Caenorhabditis elegans: one gene and its partners. The protein of the gene in region 2 purifies or fractionates together with the protein of the main gene of each other region. This does not show direct contact. Each region holds a gene or a part of one and is shown on either strand. Other genes may lie near its edges.

The links. Proteins that work in one complex are often made in the same cells at the same time.
Region 1: the proteins of cysl-2 (region 2) and pgm-2 fractionate together in Caenorhabditis elegans (co-fractionation; one large-scale study listed by BioGRID). This does not show direct contact.
Region 3: the proteins of cysl-2 (region 2) and C32E8.9 fractionate together in Caenorhabditis elegans (co-fractionation; one large-scale study listed by BioGRID). This does not show direct contact.

The regions. Positions count from the first base shown.
Region 1 is NC_003281.10:13,296,991-13,303,260, reverse strand, and holds pgm-2 (Phosphoglucomutase-2), read right to left. Parts: upstream 3,884-6,270; 5' UTR 3,883-3,883; coding exon 3,723-3,882; intron 3,045-3,722; coding exon 2,698-3,044; intron 2,632-2,697; coding exon 2,465-2,631; intron 2,408-2,464; coding exon 2,114-2,407; intron 2,046-2,113; coding exon 1,882-2,045; intron 1,285-1,881; coding exon 629-1,284; 3' UTR 501-628; downstream 1-500. Other genes in the region: Kinesin-like protein klp-19, read left to right, coding at 1-240; npp-18 (Nucleoporin SEH1), read right to left, coding at 4,475-4,614, 4,665-4,921, 5,509-5,896, 5,947-6,014, 6,066-6,127, 6,173-6,270.
Region 2 is NC_003280.10:14,491,972-14,496,660, reverse strand, and holds cysl-2 (Bifunctional L-3-cyanoalanine synthase/cysteine synthase), read left to right. Parts: upstream 1-2,209; 5' UTR 2,210-2,241; coding exon 2,242-2,917; intron 2,918-3,018; coding exon 3,019-3,253; intron 3,254-3,607; coding exon 3,608-3,710; 3' UTR 3,711-3,787; downstream 3,788-4,689. Other genes in the region: vnut-1 (Major facilitator superfamily (MFS) profile domain-containing protein), read right to left, coding at 4,096-4,268, 4,452-4,689.
Region 3 is NC_003279.8:3,794,056-3,800,386, reverse strand, and holds C32E8.9 (Ethylmalonyl-CoA decarboxylase), read left to right. Parts: upstream 1-2,318; 5' UTR 2,319-2,337; coding exon 2,338-2,352; intron 2,353-2,420; coding exon 2,421-2,591; intron 2,592-3,672; exon of another isoform or gene 3,673-3,702; coding exon of another isoform or gene 3,703-3,848; intron 3,849-3,902; coding exon of another isoform or gene 3,903-4,221; exon of another isoform or gene 4,222-4,228; intron 4,229-4,778; coding exon 4,779-4,868; intron 4,869-4,919; coding exon 4,920-5,273; intron 5,274-5,582; coding exon 5,583-5,759; 3' UTR 5,760-5,831; downstream 5,832-6,331. Other genes in the region: Phosphatidylinositol-binding clathrin assembly protein unc-11, read left to right, coding at 108-195, 355-506, 1,034-1,182; C32E8.1 (RING-type domain-containing protein), read right to left, coding at 3,703-3,848, 3,903-4,221.

The sequences.
Region 1 (6,270 bases), on a different chromosome or scaffold from region 2:
CCAATCAAATGTGACGATGATACCCGTCTAACAGAAGAAGATGAAGACATTGAAAACGAGGCAATGAACAATGCCACCTTCGTCAAAGATTCGTTCAATTCTGCCACTATTGTGTTGGACGATTCGCAACCGTCTCCTTCCAACTCAACATTCGTGATCGGTGCAGCTCCAACGTCGGAAGCAGACGGTGTTCCTCCCATCAAGCGAAAGAGTCGTCGAACGGATCTTGGACCGCTCTAAATTCCAAGTTTTGTGTGTGAAAAATATTTAACACACCAATGCCTCCTCCTGTCAACTAATGATTAATTAACTTTTACTGTGAATAATAGTATTCGGGTACTAAATTGTGTCGTTTGACCCCCCATTCTGTCTTAAATAGATGATTTTAAATTAAGTAAACCTATTAGGCATTTTTCTTATCCATTTTTTCTCAAAATGCTTCAATAAAATTGAAAGTTTACACACTTTAATGTCTTCGTTTGGTTTTGCGTACAGCTTTTAGAACGTTCAGTAATTTATTGGGGAAATAAATTGAAAAATTAATTATCACAATAGAAGAAGACTACAATATATCGGAATGCAAATAGATTTATAAACATTTTTTGATTCTTATTCAAGACAAAAATTTTTATTTTCTTGGAATCAGTCCAAATTGCTGTGGTCTCAAAAGTGTAGCGACGACATCCTTCTCGAGTTGATCCATCTCAGAAATCACACTTTCCAGATCATTCTGCGTTTTTCCCGGAGCAGTGATGAGTTCAATATAGTACTTGATTTTTGGCTCAGTACCAGATGCTCGGAGAGTAGTGACACTTCCAGTTTTAAGGAAGAAAGTCACCATTTCCGAGGAAGTCGAGAGTGGAAGAACGGGCTTATTGTCGGGCTTTGAGTTGTCGTATCCGATCGTCAAGTCTCTCACGGATGCCACTTCGGCTTCTCCGATTTTCGTCGGGAACTTCAGATCGGCTCTCAATGTGCTGAAGAGCTTCTTGGTGACCTCCGGAGCCGGTACCATCCAATAAGTGGATCTGACCAAATGGAAGCCATATCGATTGTAGAGAGCGTACAGCTGGTCTTGCAACGATTTTCCCTCCGCGTGAAGGAAAGCGGCGATTTCGGCGAAAACTGCGGCAGCGGACACGCCGTCCTTGTCCATGGTATGCCCTGGCATGTATCCGATCGATTCTTCCCACGCCAGAATGACCTGATTTCCATCGGCACGGAGCTCCTCGGCTCGATTTCCCATCCATTTGAATCCGGTCAGGGTGGTCTCGTTTTTGAAGCCTGAATTTTATAGTTTTTTTTTGTTAATTGTAATTTTAATATTTTATATTCTAAACAGGGCTGCTGCTTTTTTTTTGGCAAAAATTACTTAAAATTCTTCAAAAATGTTGATTTTTAGTCGGTAGAACGAAAAAAATTCGAATTTTTTTTTCAACTAAAATCGAAAAACGAAAGTTTTTCTTTCGATTCTCGATTTTTAAAAAAAGTTTTAAAAGAAAATTGTAGGTTTCTTTATGTAGTTTTTCATCAAAATTTACAAAACTTGGATAAAAATTCGAATATTATTGTTAATTTTCTGATTTTTAAAAAATATAATTAGATTTTCCGGAAAATCGAAAATTTTCGTTTTTCAATGTTTTTCAAAAAAAAAACTCGGCTTCTTTTTCGTATTTATCAAAATCTTGCAAGATTGTTTTTAAAAATTAGGAAAAAACTAAAACCATGCGGCGAAATTGCGAAATGGCGTGCCGCGGACACGCAATTCCGCGGTACGCGGTTTTGCAACATTGCCGCACGGTTTAATTTCAGCATTTTTTTGAAAAAATTGTATCTTTTTCATCAAAAAGCAAATTTTTCTCTTTCGAAATTAAATTTCACCTTCTGCATCAGCAATTGTCTTGACAATTTGTGAGGACACAGCACTATTCAGAATGTATACTTTTGATGCATCAGCATTCGGATTCGCTTTTCTCCAGTTTGTCCAAATCCACCAAGTGATGAGAGCGCCCATCTCATTACCAGTGAACACACGCCATTCGCCGCTGAAAATTGAATTTTTTTGAAAATAAAATTTTTTAAAATATATATTTTGGAAATTCAAAAAACTTACTCTTTCTGCTTCTCGGCCATTTGAATTCTGTCGGCGTCTGGATCGTTGGCTAAAATAACTGTCGATCCATTTTTATCGGCAGTTTCCATCGCCAGCGTGAGCACTTTTCGTCCTTCTTCTGGATTTGGGAATGGAATTGTTGGAAAATCTGGGTTTGGATCTTGTTGCTCGGCCACCGAAATGAACGATGAAGCTGGGAATCCAAATTCGGCGAACATTCGTTTTGTGTAGTGATAGCCGATTCCATGGAACGCGGAATACGTGAATTTCAGCGGAGTTGAGCCATTGATTTCTCTGAAAATATTATTGGATTTACCTTTTTTTAAACGATTTTTTAAAATTTCTACAAACCTAGTGAAGTTCAACGATTTCTCAACTTCAAAATACGGGTCAATTACAACATCAGCTGAATGGAAAAGTGGCGAAGATTTGAGTTCACTCAAGTCCCAGTACTCATCTCTCGGCTGTGGCTCGGCCTCTTTGATTCTAACAATTTCCGTGTCATGTGGTCCAATGATCTGCAAAAAAAACCTTTTCTTTTTTAATCTTAAAAAGAATTAAATCTTAAATATTGATCTATTTACCTGAGCTCCATTGCTCCAGTACGCCTTATATCCATTGTCTTCCTTTGGATTATGTGATGCAGTAATAATAAGTCCAGCATCACATCCCAGCTTAATCGTTGCCCACGAGACAACAGGAGTTGGAGAGACTTCAGAGAAAAGATAAACTGGAATATTGTTACGAACAAAGACGTTCGCCGAGAGCTCTGCGAAACGTCGACTGTTGTAACGTCCATCAAATCCGATGGCGACTCCGTTCTTCGGTTGTCCATAGACGTTCAGCATGTGTCGAGCGAATCCGTGCGTGATTTGGATGATTGTAAGATCGTTGAGGCGTCCAAATCCAGCTTGCATTGGAGAACGGACACCTGGAAAAAATACGTTTATATTTTGAGCTGTACTTTTGAATCTCTACTGTTCTCCTGTTAATATCACCCAGCTTCTTCAGAGTGTAGACAGTGGAGAGACGCAGAGATGTGGGGACCGTGTGATACGGGAACACAAATCTTTGAGAATGCGCATTGCGCAAAATATCTCGTAGCGAAAACTACAGTAATTCTTTAAACTAGTGTAGCGCTTGTGTAGATTTATGGGCTCACTTGGTGTCTGGCTGTCCCAATATAGCTTGATCTACAAAAAATGCGGGAATTTTTTACCAGAAAAATGTGGCGCCAGCACGCTCTTAACCATGCGAATTCGGCTAAGAACTCTGCGTCTCTTCTCCCGCATTTTTTGTAGATCAAAGCGAAATGGGACTTTCTGACTCCACGTGTGGGCTCGGTTTTCGAGAATAAATGTTTTTCGAATAGCGACAGATACAGATTGTTTCGAAAATTGACTACAGTAGCCATTAAAAGAATTATTGTAGCTTTCGCTATGAGATATTTTGCGCGTCAAATAAGTTGCGCAATATGCATTCCCGTAATAATGAAGATTCACACTCTGTAAATCTACACAATTTCGGGTCTTCCTCCCTTTGTCCCAATATAGCTGCGTTTCTTCCACCGTTTACACACTGCAGCTGTGTAATATTATTTTCTTCTCACCAGCAGTTCCAAAAACCAATCGAGTATCCATACGAGCTTTCAATGCATCAACGTTCTTCTCATCAACCAGCTTTTGAATTTCATTACGATTCTTATCATTCTTATCCCAAGCGAGCCAATCGGCAACTTGCTTGTCAAGCTTTGCACATCCAAGAGTCATTCTGAAAATTAGAAAGTGCTTAAATTTTGCAATAAAATTGTGGAAAAGACAACAAAAGTTTTAAAAAATCGAAATTTTGCAGATAAGGACACTAATACCACAATTATTCCGACATGTGTGGATGAGAAAAGGCCAGGTAAATGACCTTGCCGTTTCTCTATTTCTCTGCGAGTAACCCACTATCCCTAGATTTGGAAAAGAGATAAAATCAACAATAATTGATGGAGGTATTGTGGAAACTGTGAAAAAGACAGTATCGGGTTTCAGTAAATATTTAATTTTCGAATTTAGGTGAATGTTGAATGCAAAAAGAATTAACAAAAACGTCCAAAAAATATTTCTAGGCACAAAAACCGTTGAAAATTACATAAGTTAGATAAGTGGAATGTTTAATTCTTGCAGAAACCGATCAGCATGAAAAATCTGAAAATTAAACAGAAGATTGATAAAATACTTAAACATCAAAAAAAAATCGGTGATAATGTTCTCGGTTTTCAGTTTTCAGATGATGATAACAAATAATAATACACGCTTTGATAAGAAATCATTCGGAAAAAAAATGATCGGCGAGAAAAAATAGAGAAAAATATCGTTAGAAATAGGTTTTCTCGAGTTGTGATGGAAGACGTTCGGTAGTTTTCGATGAGATGAAGGCGCGAACTTCTTCAGGCGATGGAACGTAGTCGTCGACATTCATCTCACTCAGCTTTACCCATTGGTTCACGAAGAGTGCTGAAAATCAATTTTATTTCATTTTTGACTCTTTTTGATTTTTTCCCAACATTTCCAGGATCTCAGTGTTCCATCCAAGCTCGTCGACGAGATGACTGATCCCATGAGATTATATCGAAGCCTCCATGCTTTTCGATGATCCCCGAGCAGTGCCACCTTGATCAGATTGTAATCCGCCAGCTGAATCGGATTCTCGACACCGTCTTCTTCGAGAATCGCCGAACGAGCCACTTTGATGTTGTAGACGTGAACATCGCCTGATGCAACGGCTAATTGATGCGAATCCACCATCGATATCGGCGAGAATCTGAACATTTTAAATATTATAGTTAAAATAGCGGAAATTTTTTTTTGAAATTTTCAGACAAAAAATTGATAAAATAGCGGATTTTTCAAGAAAATTCGATTTTTTTTGAAATTTTTAGACAAAAATTATTAAAATAGCGAATTTTTCAAGAAAATTCCAATAATTTTTGGAATTTTCAGACAAAAAATTGATAAAACTGCGGACTTTTCCAGAAAATTCAATTTTTTTTGTTGGAATTTTTAGACAAAAAATTGTTAAAATAGCGGATTTTTCAAGAAAATTTTAAATATTTTTTGAATTTTGTTAAAATAGCGGAATTTTCAGAACATTTCAATTATTTTTAAAATTTTCAGGCAAAAAATTGATAAAATTGCGGATTTTTCAAGAAAATACGATTGTTTTTGAAATTTTTAGACACAAATCCGATAAATATCGGATTTTAGAAAATTCGATTATTTTTTGGAATTTCTAGACAAAAAATTATTCAAAGAGCGGATTTTTTAATACTGAAAAATCTGCTATTTTCAATGGAAAGGCAAGCGCGCTGTAATAATTATTCGGCTCCGAGGAGAGCGTGTTCTTCCTACTTCAAATCAGTAATCGGGCATGGTAGATCGAAGACTAATGAGTTGATTCGCTGCCATTTCCTCAATCCATCAATATTCTCATAGATCACAACTCGTTTCTTGTTCTCTGCCTTCTTCTCATCCGAACCAACAGCAATCAACGGGCGGTGCATACGAGAAAGTGACCATGTGACACATCCACATCGGGTATGAAACGCTTGAAGCTCGTGAATAAGATTCCATCGAGAAGCGTCCACAATATCCGGTGCTTCGTAGATTCTGACGGTTCCGAGAACGTTGCATGATGCCATCATGAGACCCAGATGGCGCGGGGAGAAGCAGATATCGGTGACGTCTGAACGATTATCGGAGATGATTGTTCTTCGGATCCATTGGGATTCTTTTTGCTCTGAGAGATACATAATGTTTTGGATTATATTTAGAGCGAATTATACTCACTCAGATCTTTCTCTGATCTCACAATTTGCTCCTCCCAAATTACAATCGTTCTGTCGTAGGAGCAGGTGCTGAAAATCAATCAATAAAGTATATTCGGGTGACAGTTTCTAGTTTCTTACGCAACAATCTGCCCAAATTCCGGATGAGCCCAAATAACGCGCCAAACTGCTCCACCATGACACTGAAATGAGGAAAATTATTTTATTTTCTGAAATTTCTTTTCTACCTTCCAGTGTGCAGATCTACGCCAATTTCCGTCTGGCTTTCGATCCCAAATCGCCATTGTCATATCGCTGGCACATGTTGCCATTCGTCGGCCATGAG
Region 2 (4,689 bases):
CGACCCGACAAAATCTTGTTACAAAAGATAAAGGGCGAGCTCTTAAAGAGTACTGTAGTCTCAAACTTTCGTTGACGCGGAATTTTCGTCAATTTTTCAGAGTTTGATAATTTTTTGTTTATTAAAATCTCAACAAACCGTAAAAAAATGTAAAATCGATTGAAAATTGAAATTACAGTACTCTTTAAAGGCGCACACCTTTTCGAATTTAACAAAAATTGATGTGGCGAGACCGGGTAACGTATTTTCGCCGAAAAATTGTTGAATTTAAGATAATTTTATGCAAGTATGGGAGTATTATGAAAGATTGTTAAATGTTTTTTATCTGAATTTTTACGATTGGGTTGGCTGTAAGAATTTTAAGATGTTTTTTTTTTAACTTTCAGATTGTATTTTTTACCAGGGGTGGGCGGAAACCGTTTTTTTCCGACAAACGACAAATAGGTAATTTGCAGAAAATGACAATTTCCGGCAAATCGGCAAACCGGATCTATTTGCCGAAAAACGGCAATTGCAGAAATTTTCGGCAAATTGTGGTTTAGCACACTTTTTCGGGAAATTTCAGAATTTCTCTTTTAATCGGCAAAATTGTACTTATCATGAATGCTCCTACATCTATTCTGAAAAGTAAGCAAATTCTATGAAAATAATATTAATTTTCAAAATGGCTCAGTTTTAAGTATTTCCGTCTTAAAAAACACACTTCCGGCAAATTGACATCCGGCAATTTGCGGGAATTGAGAAATTCCGGCAAATTGGGAAACCGGCATTTTGTTGACTTGCCAAATTTGCGGAGAAAAGCTTGCCAAACGGCAATGGCCGCCCACCTCTGATTCCTACCTCTAAAGAGCTCTGAAAAGAAAAATTGCAAGAATCCGCTTCTGGAGCTATTCTATCGGCCTTCAGTTGGGTTCTTGAAAATATATTCACCTAAAATATTTCAGAATAGGTGCACATGTTTCCAGATGCACATGTCTTCTGGTGTTCCCCCTTTCAGAAATAATAAAATTCCATAAAACAATCTTCAATATGTCACGTACTCACTTTGATCTTATCATCCTCTCGATTAGCAGTTCAGATCATAGAACAGACTATTTGAGACACAGACACCCAATCAAATGTTTTCAAGTGATGATTTCCTAGTTCTCATCATATGGAGCAAATATGGGCGGTGCTTATAGTCCAAAAACACACGTTCATTTCACAGCGGATGGAAGTATAAAAGGTGAAGTTTGGAATCTGATGAAACATGTCTTCTGGTTTTGCACTTTTTTGTAGAAATTGTTACCTCAAGTGTGAAAGTACTTTACTAATGTGTTCCCGGCGAAAAATGATTTTAATTGGACCGTCTTTTTTTCATAGAAACCATCCAGAATTCCAGTAGTGAAAGTTCACAAGTTTCAGATAAATTTTAGGGTATTTACAGTAAAAGAAACTAAATAATTTTTTTGAAAATTTCAAAAATCTCGGATATTTTAATTGTTAAATTCGATCATCTTACAATTAGACTTCTATTAGTAAAGGCGCACACTATTTTTATCAGCTTTATTAAAGATAGGGATTCCATTTAGGCTTTAAAAAGGCAGGCGTCAAGCCCTGAAACCGAGCCTGCTTACCATGGATGCCCTACTCAATCGTAAATCGAAATAAAATAATATGTATAACTAATTTTCAAAGGTTTGTATTACGGGAACACAGTTCTGAGAATGCGCATTTACGGGCTCGATTTTTGAAATTCTGTTCATAAATAAATTATTTTAACTCATTCCGAAAATCGTGCCCGTAAATCGACACCATCACTACAGTAATCACTGAAAGAATAGTTTTCGCTACGTGATATTTTGTGCGTCAAATATGGTGTGCAAAACGCATTTTCAGAATTTTGTGTTCCCGTAATATCAATTTGATCTTCCGCGTCTACCAATAGATCAAATTACTTTGATACCAAGAAAAATGATGACAATAACTGCCGCCCGCCCTTATCGTTTACTCATCTCGCACGTATTATTGTTTTCTACCTGATTGGTCTTCATTTCTTATCACTATCGTTATATCTTTTCGTTAATTTTGTTCTTATTCTTTTTTATTACGCTTTTTGTTGAAAAGTTCGTCTTTTTGCAACATTATAGTGTAGTGGATTTAATTACTCCCTTTATTTGAATTCCTGCGAAAAATCTTTTTAAAACTCTTATTCCATTTTTTTTTTCAGAGTATTAGTTATCCTCTGCCAATCAACTCATCATGTCCCGCGAACTTATGGTCGAAACCGGTGGTGAGCTCATCGGAAACACCCCACTCCTGAAGCTCAACAAGATCGGAAAGGATCTCGGTGCATCGATTGCCGTCAAGGTAGAGTACATGAACCCTGCCTGCTCGGTCAAGGATCGTATCGCGTTCAACATGATCGACACAGCTGAGAAGGCCGGGCTCATCACCCCCGGCAAAACTGTGCTCATTGAGCCAACCAGTGGAAACATGGGAATTGCGTTGGCCTACTGCGGAAAACTTCGTGGGTACAAAGTTATTCTTACGATGCCAGCGTCGATGAGTATTGAGAGAAGGTGTCTGTTAAAGGCCTACGGTGCTGAGGTGATTCTTACCGATCCAGCGACCGCGGTCAAAGGAGCTGTCCAAAGAGCCGAAGAGCTTCGCGATGTGATTCCAAATGCGTATATCTTGAACCAATTCGGAAATCCAGCAAATCCAGAAGCCCATTATAAGACTACAGGACCAGAAATTTGGAGGCAGACACAGGGCAAGGTTGATATCGTATGCTTCGGAGTTGGATCAGGTGGAACTTGCACTGGAGTCGGACGATTCTTGAAGGAGAAGAACCCAAGTGTTCAAGTGTTCCCAGTTGAGCCATTTGAGAGTTCTGTGATCAATGGACTTCCACATAGCCCACACAAAATTCAAGGTGAGCATTTTTTTTCCAAATTTTCGGGGCTGGGGAATTGTAAATCAAACAAAAAAAAGTCGATGCACCATGTCAAAAACGGTTATATTTTCTATTTCCAGGCATGGGAACCGGAATGATTCCTGACATCCTCGACTTGACCCTTTTCTCCGAGGCTCTGCGAGTTCATTCCGATGATGCTATTGCAATGGCCAAGAAGCTTGCCGACGAGGAGTCGATTTTGGGTGGAATCTCGTCTGGAGCCAACGTGTGCGCTGCAGTTCAGTTGGCCAAGCGACCGGAGAATAAGGGGAAACTAATTGTCACCACAGTTAACAGTTTTGGAGAACGCTATCTGTAAGTTTTATATTCAATATTATTGCAGAATTTTCAGTTTTTTCCATGAAAAAAATGTAGGGCTTTCATGGGCGGTAGGCGCGGTTTCAGGACCTGACGCCTGCCTCCAACCTCGAAAGTAATAATTTAACAATGAAATTAAACTCCAAATAGACCTTCCCAAAAACTGTAAAAACCCGAAAAATTGAAAAAGTTCAAGAAAATTCGAAAGCCAAGAATTGGGCGGGGCTCAATTTTGGTCACATTGGGTAAATGTTGTTTCTATAATTTGAAAATATAAAACTTTCTCGGGAATCTTTGTCTCAGATATTAAATATTTCAAAATAAGCCCCGCCCAATACTTGGCTATTTCAGTTCAACCGCCCTCTACGCCGAGCTCCGTGATAACGCCGCCAACATGAAACAGTTGAACCTCGACGATTCCATCAAGATTGCCAAAGAATACCTAGGAATTTAAACTTTCGAATTTCATATTGTGTGAAAATGTTTCATTCCAAAAAATGTTGTTTTGGAAAATAAATAAATTTATTTAAAAAAGACATGAATATTACACATTTCGTACAATGAAAAGACTTCAAAAACCCGGATAAACTATGAATCACTGAAAATTGAGTGGGTGTGGGGAAGGGTGAACACAGACAATTCGAAGAGGGGTGGGGGAAGAAAAATGAGAAGAGGCAAGTTTATAGTTCAGAGGGGAAATGAGAAGAAGAAGAAAAGACCGATAACAAAAATTATGAAACAAGAATAAAGAAGAAGAAGAAAACTATTTTTCAAAAGTAAATCTTCGGATTCACTTCAAGAATTTTTGAAAAAAAAGTTAATGCACATGAAACAAATAATTAAATAATCTTCTGTCCAGTGCCCAGAAGTGTATAAACCATAGCTCCAACAACACACTGAGCCGCCGTCACAACGAACACGTACGACCAGTTGTTATTCGTGGCTTCCAGGATGTGACCAGCAATGTAGACACCGACGAATCCGGTGATGGCGCCGCAGGCATTGAAAACTCCTGAAAAATGGTTATTTTAATATAACTTCTTTTTTGTTTTTTTCAGGCATCAATCTGGTGGGATTCCGGATCTAAAAAAATATTTTTTCGCCAAATCAGCAATTTGCTAGAAATGCAAAGTTTGATATTTTTGGCAATCAGAAAAAACTTTCGTGCTCATGTTCAGAAGAAGTCTACCCTTACCAAAAACAGATCCCGCATGATTTGGTGCAAAATCGTGTGGATTTACGGAAACACCACCGTGGTGTAGCCCTCTGGCAGCCATTGCCATAGTGAATATGATCAATGATATCCAGAACGATGATGTCATTGGTACTAGCATCAAACAGAATGCGATTCCCAGTAGACTGGCTCCTTCCATCAATTTTCTCGTATAGGTCACAGTTTTTCCCTCGGACAGCGCACGAGACGCCATCACTGG
Region 3 (6,331 bases), on a different chromosome or scaffold from region 2:
CTCTACTTCAACATTAATACAGTTTTACAGTTTTTCATAACCACCCCACATTTCAGATGACTTCAAATTTGAACAAAAAAATGTAAAAATTAAAATATTAATTCCAGGTCATCAAGCTGCTCCATTCGGATATCCAAATGCTCATCCAGATGATCTTGCTCGAATGACTGCACAAATGTCATTGAATCAGCAGGGGTAGGATTATTTTTGTCAATTTTAATGCAATTTTTGTTGCAATTTTTTTCGTGACTCACGACACGAACGAACCACTAGGGCTAGATTATACATATTACCTTTTACAAAATTTCACAATTTCTAAAGAAAATCGAAAAATCTTGCCTAAAAATATCTTAGTTACAGAGCACCGGCCGGCTGGAATACCACAACTTCTGCCGTCTCAAACAATCCGTTTGGAGCAACGTCGGCTCCTCAGCCAATGTATACGGCTCCAATGGGAATGTATCAACAACCATTTGGTGCTCAGCCAATGTGGAATCCTGCGATGGGTTAGTTTATCGAAAAAACGAGGAATTTTTTTAAAATTAGAATCTCGGAACAATTGAATTTTTATCTAATTTTTCACAATATTTCAAGATTATTTTAAATGTGAAAATCGATTTTGAAGCATTTTTTGTTAATTTTTGCTTCATTTTCGAAATATGCTCATACACCTATTTTATACTAAAATATAAAATTTAAACCTCTGGAAAAAATTCAGTTTTATTTAAAATCGAAAAATCGGTGGAACATTTCATATTCCAGCAATTTTTGGATAAGCGGAAAAATAATTTTGGACAAAAAATAGCAAAACATTTTTGGGTTGGATTTCGGGCCAAAAAACCAACAAAAAAAATTTATACTTAAATTTATTAAAAAACCGCGAGAAAGTGAGCAGTTTTTGGTTTATTTTTTGGTCTAAATAATACCAAACAAAAACAAAAAAGCCCCACGCCTAGAATAGGAATTCAACCATTTTGTGGGCGTGTCTGGCACTATATTTCGGTAGATTTTCAAAATCTTATTTTTTTTGCAGCAGCATACGGTCAACAATATGGATACGGACAACCTGTTCCACCACAACAGCAACACCAAATTCAATTGGTTCATGCAGCGATGGCTGCAAAGAACGCTGCACAAGCTCAACAGGCCCAGGCCGCCTCAGCCGATCCATTTGGATTATAGTCTAGTCGTCTATTTCTCTCTATCTCTCTCGTAACATTCCCTGATTTATTTTTTTTTAATGTAAAAACAAAATGATAGCCTATTTCTATTTCTTGATATCCCCCAAGATTCTCCAATTTTAGAATTTCCAGTAGATTGTGCAAAACTAATCAAATAGCGAAATCCAGGTGCCACTCCAATTTGAAATCACTTAGTATTCCTTTTTAACCTTTTTTTTTCAAAATTTTTGAATAGTCAAAGTATATTGCAATCAAATGTGTCGTTTTTTTGCATTGAAAAATTCGGAAAAATCGATTTTTTTTCTCGATTTTTCAATTACCCCAAAATACCGAAAAATCAGAATTTTTCGACGTCACCCTTGATTAGAATATATATTCCAGTAAATTGCCTTTTTCTTCGGTCGAATTGTCATAATTTTTCATGCTCTCTAGATACAATGTACCCCCCAAAATTCTTCAGATTCGGCCAAATTTTCGTCAGATCAGTGATGTTTTCCCCCTATCTCTATCTCTGCGTCTTCCAGTCTCTAGCGGCATTTTTTGTTTCATTCTTTCCACCCAAAAATTTATTTTGCAAAACGCACGCTTCTGTGTCCTATTTAATTATTTGAATTTTATATATTTATTTATTGACTCCCCCTCCCCCCCCCGGCTCTCCCATTTTAAGCGCTCGTGTTTCATAGCAATAAATTAAATTATTTTCCATCCTTCCTTTTTTTAGATTTTGAAATTTTGCAACTTTATCTCTATTGCCAAGAAGCGATGATAGATTGATTTTTCAATTGATGCAATAAATATTCGTAGATTCCTCGATTCACGTCATACTTTTTTGTTGTAAAATCTACCGCCAGACACGCCCACAAAATGGTTCATAGCCCCGCCTATTTTAGGGGCGGGGTCTTTGTTGTACGGTTTTTTGTACAAAAATTGTAGGAAAATGAAATTTTGCACCGGTTTTTTGGATTCTAAAACTGTCAAGAAAACTATTGAATTTCTTGTTTTTCCGCCAATACCTAATGAGACCCTGCGTTTGGTGGCGGGGCTTCGACTTGTGACTCAAAAATAGGGAAAATATATTCTTATTCTTCTCACTAACCGCTTATAACCTAAAAATAAAAAGATTTTTCTAATTTTTCAGGGCAACTGAGCGACAAAAATGTCTGGAAAAGTGGTATGTTCTTCGAAATTTGAATATTGCGTGATTCACGACTATGTGCCTTTAGAATTGAATTTTTTCAGGTTAGACCATCCGCAGCACTGCTGGAAGTCTTTAAATCATGGCAAGGCGGTGCGATTCGAGTTCAGCGAAACGAGAAGCTGAAAACAAGACTTGACGTAATTCTGGACCGCCCGGAAAAGAATAATTGTTTGTCTGGAGAAATGATGAAGCAGTTTGGAGAGCACACTGAGGCAAGTTTTTGAATTTGCGCGTGAAATTTGATGCATTAGAGGTAGAGACCGAGCAAAACAGTGTGCGCCTTTAAGAAGTGCAGCAACCGATTTCTCCAGCACTTTTTAATACTAAATGCTTGAGTATATTACTGGAACACAAAATTCCGAGAATGCGTATTGTACAACATATTTGACGCGCAAAATATCTCATAACGAAAACTACAGTAATTCTTCAAATGCACGTGGTGTCAGGCTGTCTCATAACTGTTTGATCTACAAGAAAAGTGGGAATTTTTTACCCCAAAAAATGTGACGTCAGCACGTTCTTAACCACTAGTTGAGAAGTCTGCATCTAAATTCTCGAAATTTTCGAGATCTACGTAGATCAAACCGAAATGGGACACTCTCACACCACGTGTAAATGACATGACTACTGTAGGGCTTGTGTCGATTTACGAGCTCTTTTTACAAAATGAATTTAAATTATTTATTTATCGATTGAATAATAAATTTGAGAAAAAACTAGCAAATATTACGAGGAAACAGATGAGAATGGAATATCGATGTCTTAAAGAAATTCATTTCGAAAATCAAGTCCGTAAATCGACACAATGGCAGCAGTAGTCATTTAAAGAATTACTGTAGTTTTCGCTAAGAGATATGTTGCGCAATGCGCATTCTCAGAATTTTGTGTTCCCGTAATAGAAAAAATTTGAAACAATATGGTAAATTATTATCACGGAATTCTGGCTTCCCTCATAAATCGAAATGGCAGAGTTTGCCGAACTAGGCCATTTTGGGTCGAAGAGATTTTATGTAGATTTACGGCGCGTTGCGTGTCGCGTCGCGGCTCGTTTTTAGTTGTAAAATTGATGTATTTGCCCGTGTGGAGTACACGGCACTTTTCCACACGTTGTCCGGCAGGCGATTGTCAATGGAGCGCGAAAATTCAATGATAAAGGCCAGAACCCCGTGATTACTGTACTAATTTAATTGTCACGCATGTTTTTACGCAGGCTGAACTTGAAATTATTGTGATACCGGTTACTGTAGTTTTGCGCGAAGACCTTAAGAATCTCAGAATCAGAATCAATCTACACAGTATTTTTCAAATCATTTATTCGAATTTCTACTGATTTATGAGAGAAAAATTCTTGGGCAGATTCTCGATCGTCTTGTTATTGAACTTGTACACTTTTCTATCGAATGGACAACGGATCATCTTGTTTTGGATAATATTTCCAGCGCATTCGGTGCAAATTGTGTGGCCACACGCTGAATATGATAAGAATAATATCATTATTTTATGAGTTGCATTGGCAGACTTACGCAGAACACGAGGCACGGTCATTCCAGAATCCCCATATTGTACTGCACAAATCTCACATTCAATCGGAAGAGTTTTGAGATCGGAAATCGCCTTTTTCAGGAAGTCCGTCACACGTTTTTCCTTCTCAAGAGCCTCCTTCGTTTCCACAAAACAATCCACCATATCATCCAGCTGCACCTTCAACTTTTCGTTCTCCGATTGCAGACGCTTCACTTTCTTCATCAACTGTTGCTCTTCCCAAGGAACTTTTTTCACTGGCACCGCATCGTGTCCTACTTGCTCTGCAATCCTCTTGCTTCTGCAATCCTCTTGCTTCATTTTTTTGAAAAATCTGATTCCGTTTTAACATCACGTATTTACACGGCTTTACACGGCCTCTCTCAATTTCATTTATTTAAAAATTCCTTTTTTTTTAATTTTACACGCTCTCACGGGAAGATCAAAAATTATTAAATTTAAATTACACAATTATATTGGAATATTCGAAGGTACAACTATTACTGGAACAAAAACTTTCGAGAATGCGTATTGCGCGACATATTTGACGCCTACTGTATTTAGCGCATGTGTAGATTTACGGGCTTGATTTTCGAAACGAATCGAAATAATTTATTTATTGAAAGAATATATTGGAACGAAGGAAAATGGAATATCGCTGTCGCTACTCGGAAAAAAATTCATTTCGAAAATCAGCCCCGTAAATCGACACAAGCGCTATTTACAGTAGGCAAATAAATTTTCGCTAAATTTTATAAATTTTCACAATATAGTGGGTTACTGTACTTTAAAACACACATGTTTTTGCGCAGTCGTATTTGAAATTATTTTTTTCGTTGCGAGACCGTAGTAAAAATGCCTGAAATATCACTTTTCAGCTATTTTCCGATGATCAAAACGCAATTATCGTTGTTTCGGGAGTTGGAAAATCGTTCTGCTCGGGTGCTGATTTGGGTCTTATCAAAGATGTAATGAAATTCCAATTTTTAAATTCCAACTTTCAAATGTTTAAATTTCAGATTTCGGACCAAAAGCTTGGCGTCCAAATGTTCGAGTACATGTCATCAATTCTTTCACTTCTCCACTCATCACCAGCTATTTCAATTGCGAAAATCCATGGCCACGCACTCGGCGGAGCCACCGAAATTTGCTCGTCGACCGACATTCGAATTGCTCATTCTGGCTCGAAAATCGCATTTTTTCAATCGAAAATGGGAATTGTTCCGTCGTGGGGAGGTGCCGAATATATGGAGGGAATTATGGGTAGAGGACGAGCATTAGCTGCAATGGGACGGGCAAATGTTATGTCAGCTGAGGAAGCAAAGGATCAAGGATATGTGGATTATGTGTACAAAAGTGAAGATGAAGCTGAGGTACGGAACTGTGACGTCATTTGTCGCCTAGAAATCCCATAAAATCGAGGTGCATTCGCGCTCCACTGGCAAATGAAAAGGCTCCGCCTCTAAACGTTGGGTCTCGTTAGGTATTCGAACATTTTCAATTATTCTCGTCTTTTCTTAAAATTAATTTCCGTTTCTTCCATTATTATGAAAAACATGTTTAAAACGGAAAAAGTATGCAAGAAAAAAGTCAATACCTAACGAGACCCAACGTTTGGGGGCGGAGCATTTTTACCTCGCCGTGGAGCGCCATTGCTATAATACATTGAAATATGTTTTCAGAACTTCATCAACCAAGTGGCTAGCGCTGGTTTGAAAGTGACAAGAGCCCAGAAAGCTATGCTGAACGCTGTAAAAATAGGAAAAACGGAGCAAAAACAAGTGCTGGAAGCCGTCTGGAACGGGGAAACTCATCGAAATGCACTTCAGAAACAACTCGAAGCGGTCGTCAAGAAATAATTTTGCTTTTTTTTGAAAGAATTTTGTATTGTATTTTAAACTATTTTTAGAGAAATGAACAATTCTGAATCCAAATATTTATTTCTCCAATACTATTAAACTTGAAAAAAAGTCTAGATGAAAATTAACAAATCTGTGAACTTTGGCATTTGTAGCGATCTCTATGACTGAGATCGTGACGAGACCCACTCAAAAAATCCCATGTGCTTTTGAAATTGCCAATTTTTAGCAAAATTACGATATTTCGGGAGCACAAAAATCTGAGAATGTGTATTGCGTAAAATATCTCGTAGCGAAAACTACAGTAAGTCTTTGAATGACTACTGTAGGGCTTGTGTCGATTTACGGGCTCGATTTTCGATATTAAATAATTTATTTTCCCTAGATTTTCTCAAATTTTTTTTCTCAAATTTGTTATTCAGTCGATAAATATAGAGCTCGTGAATCGACACAAGCGCTACAGTAATCATTCAAAGAATTACTGTAGTTTTCGCTACGAGATATTTTGCACGTCAAATATGTTGTGCAGTACGCATTTTCAGAATTTTTTGTTCCCATAATATCTATATTTT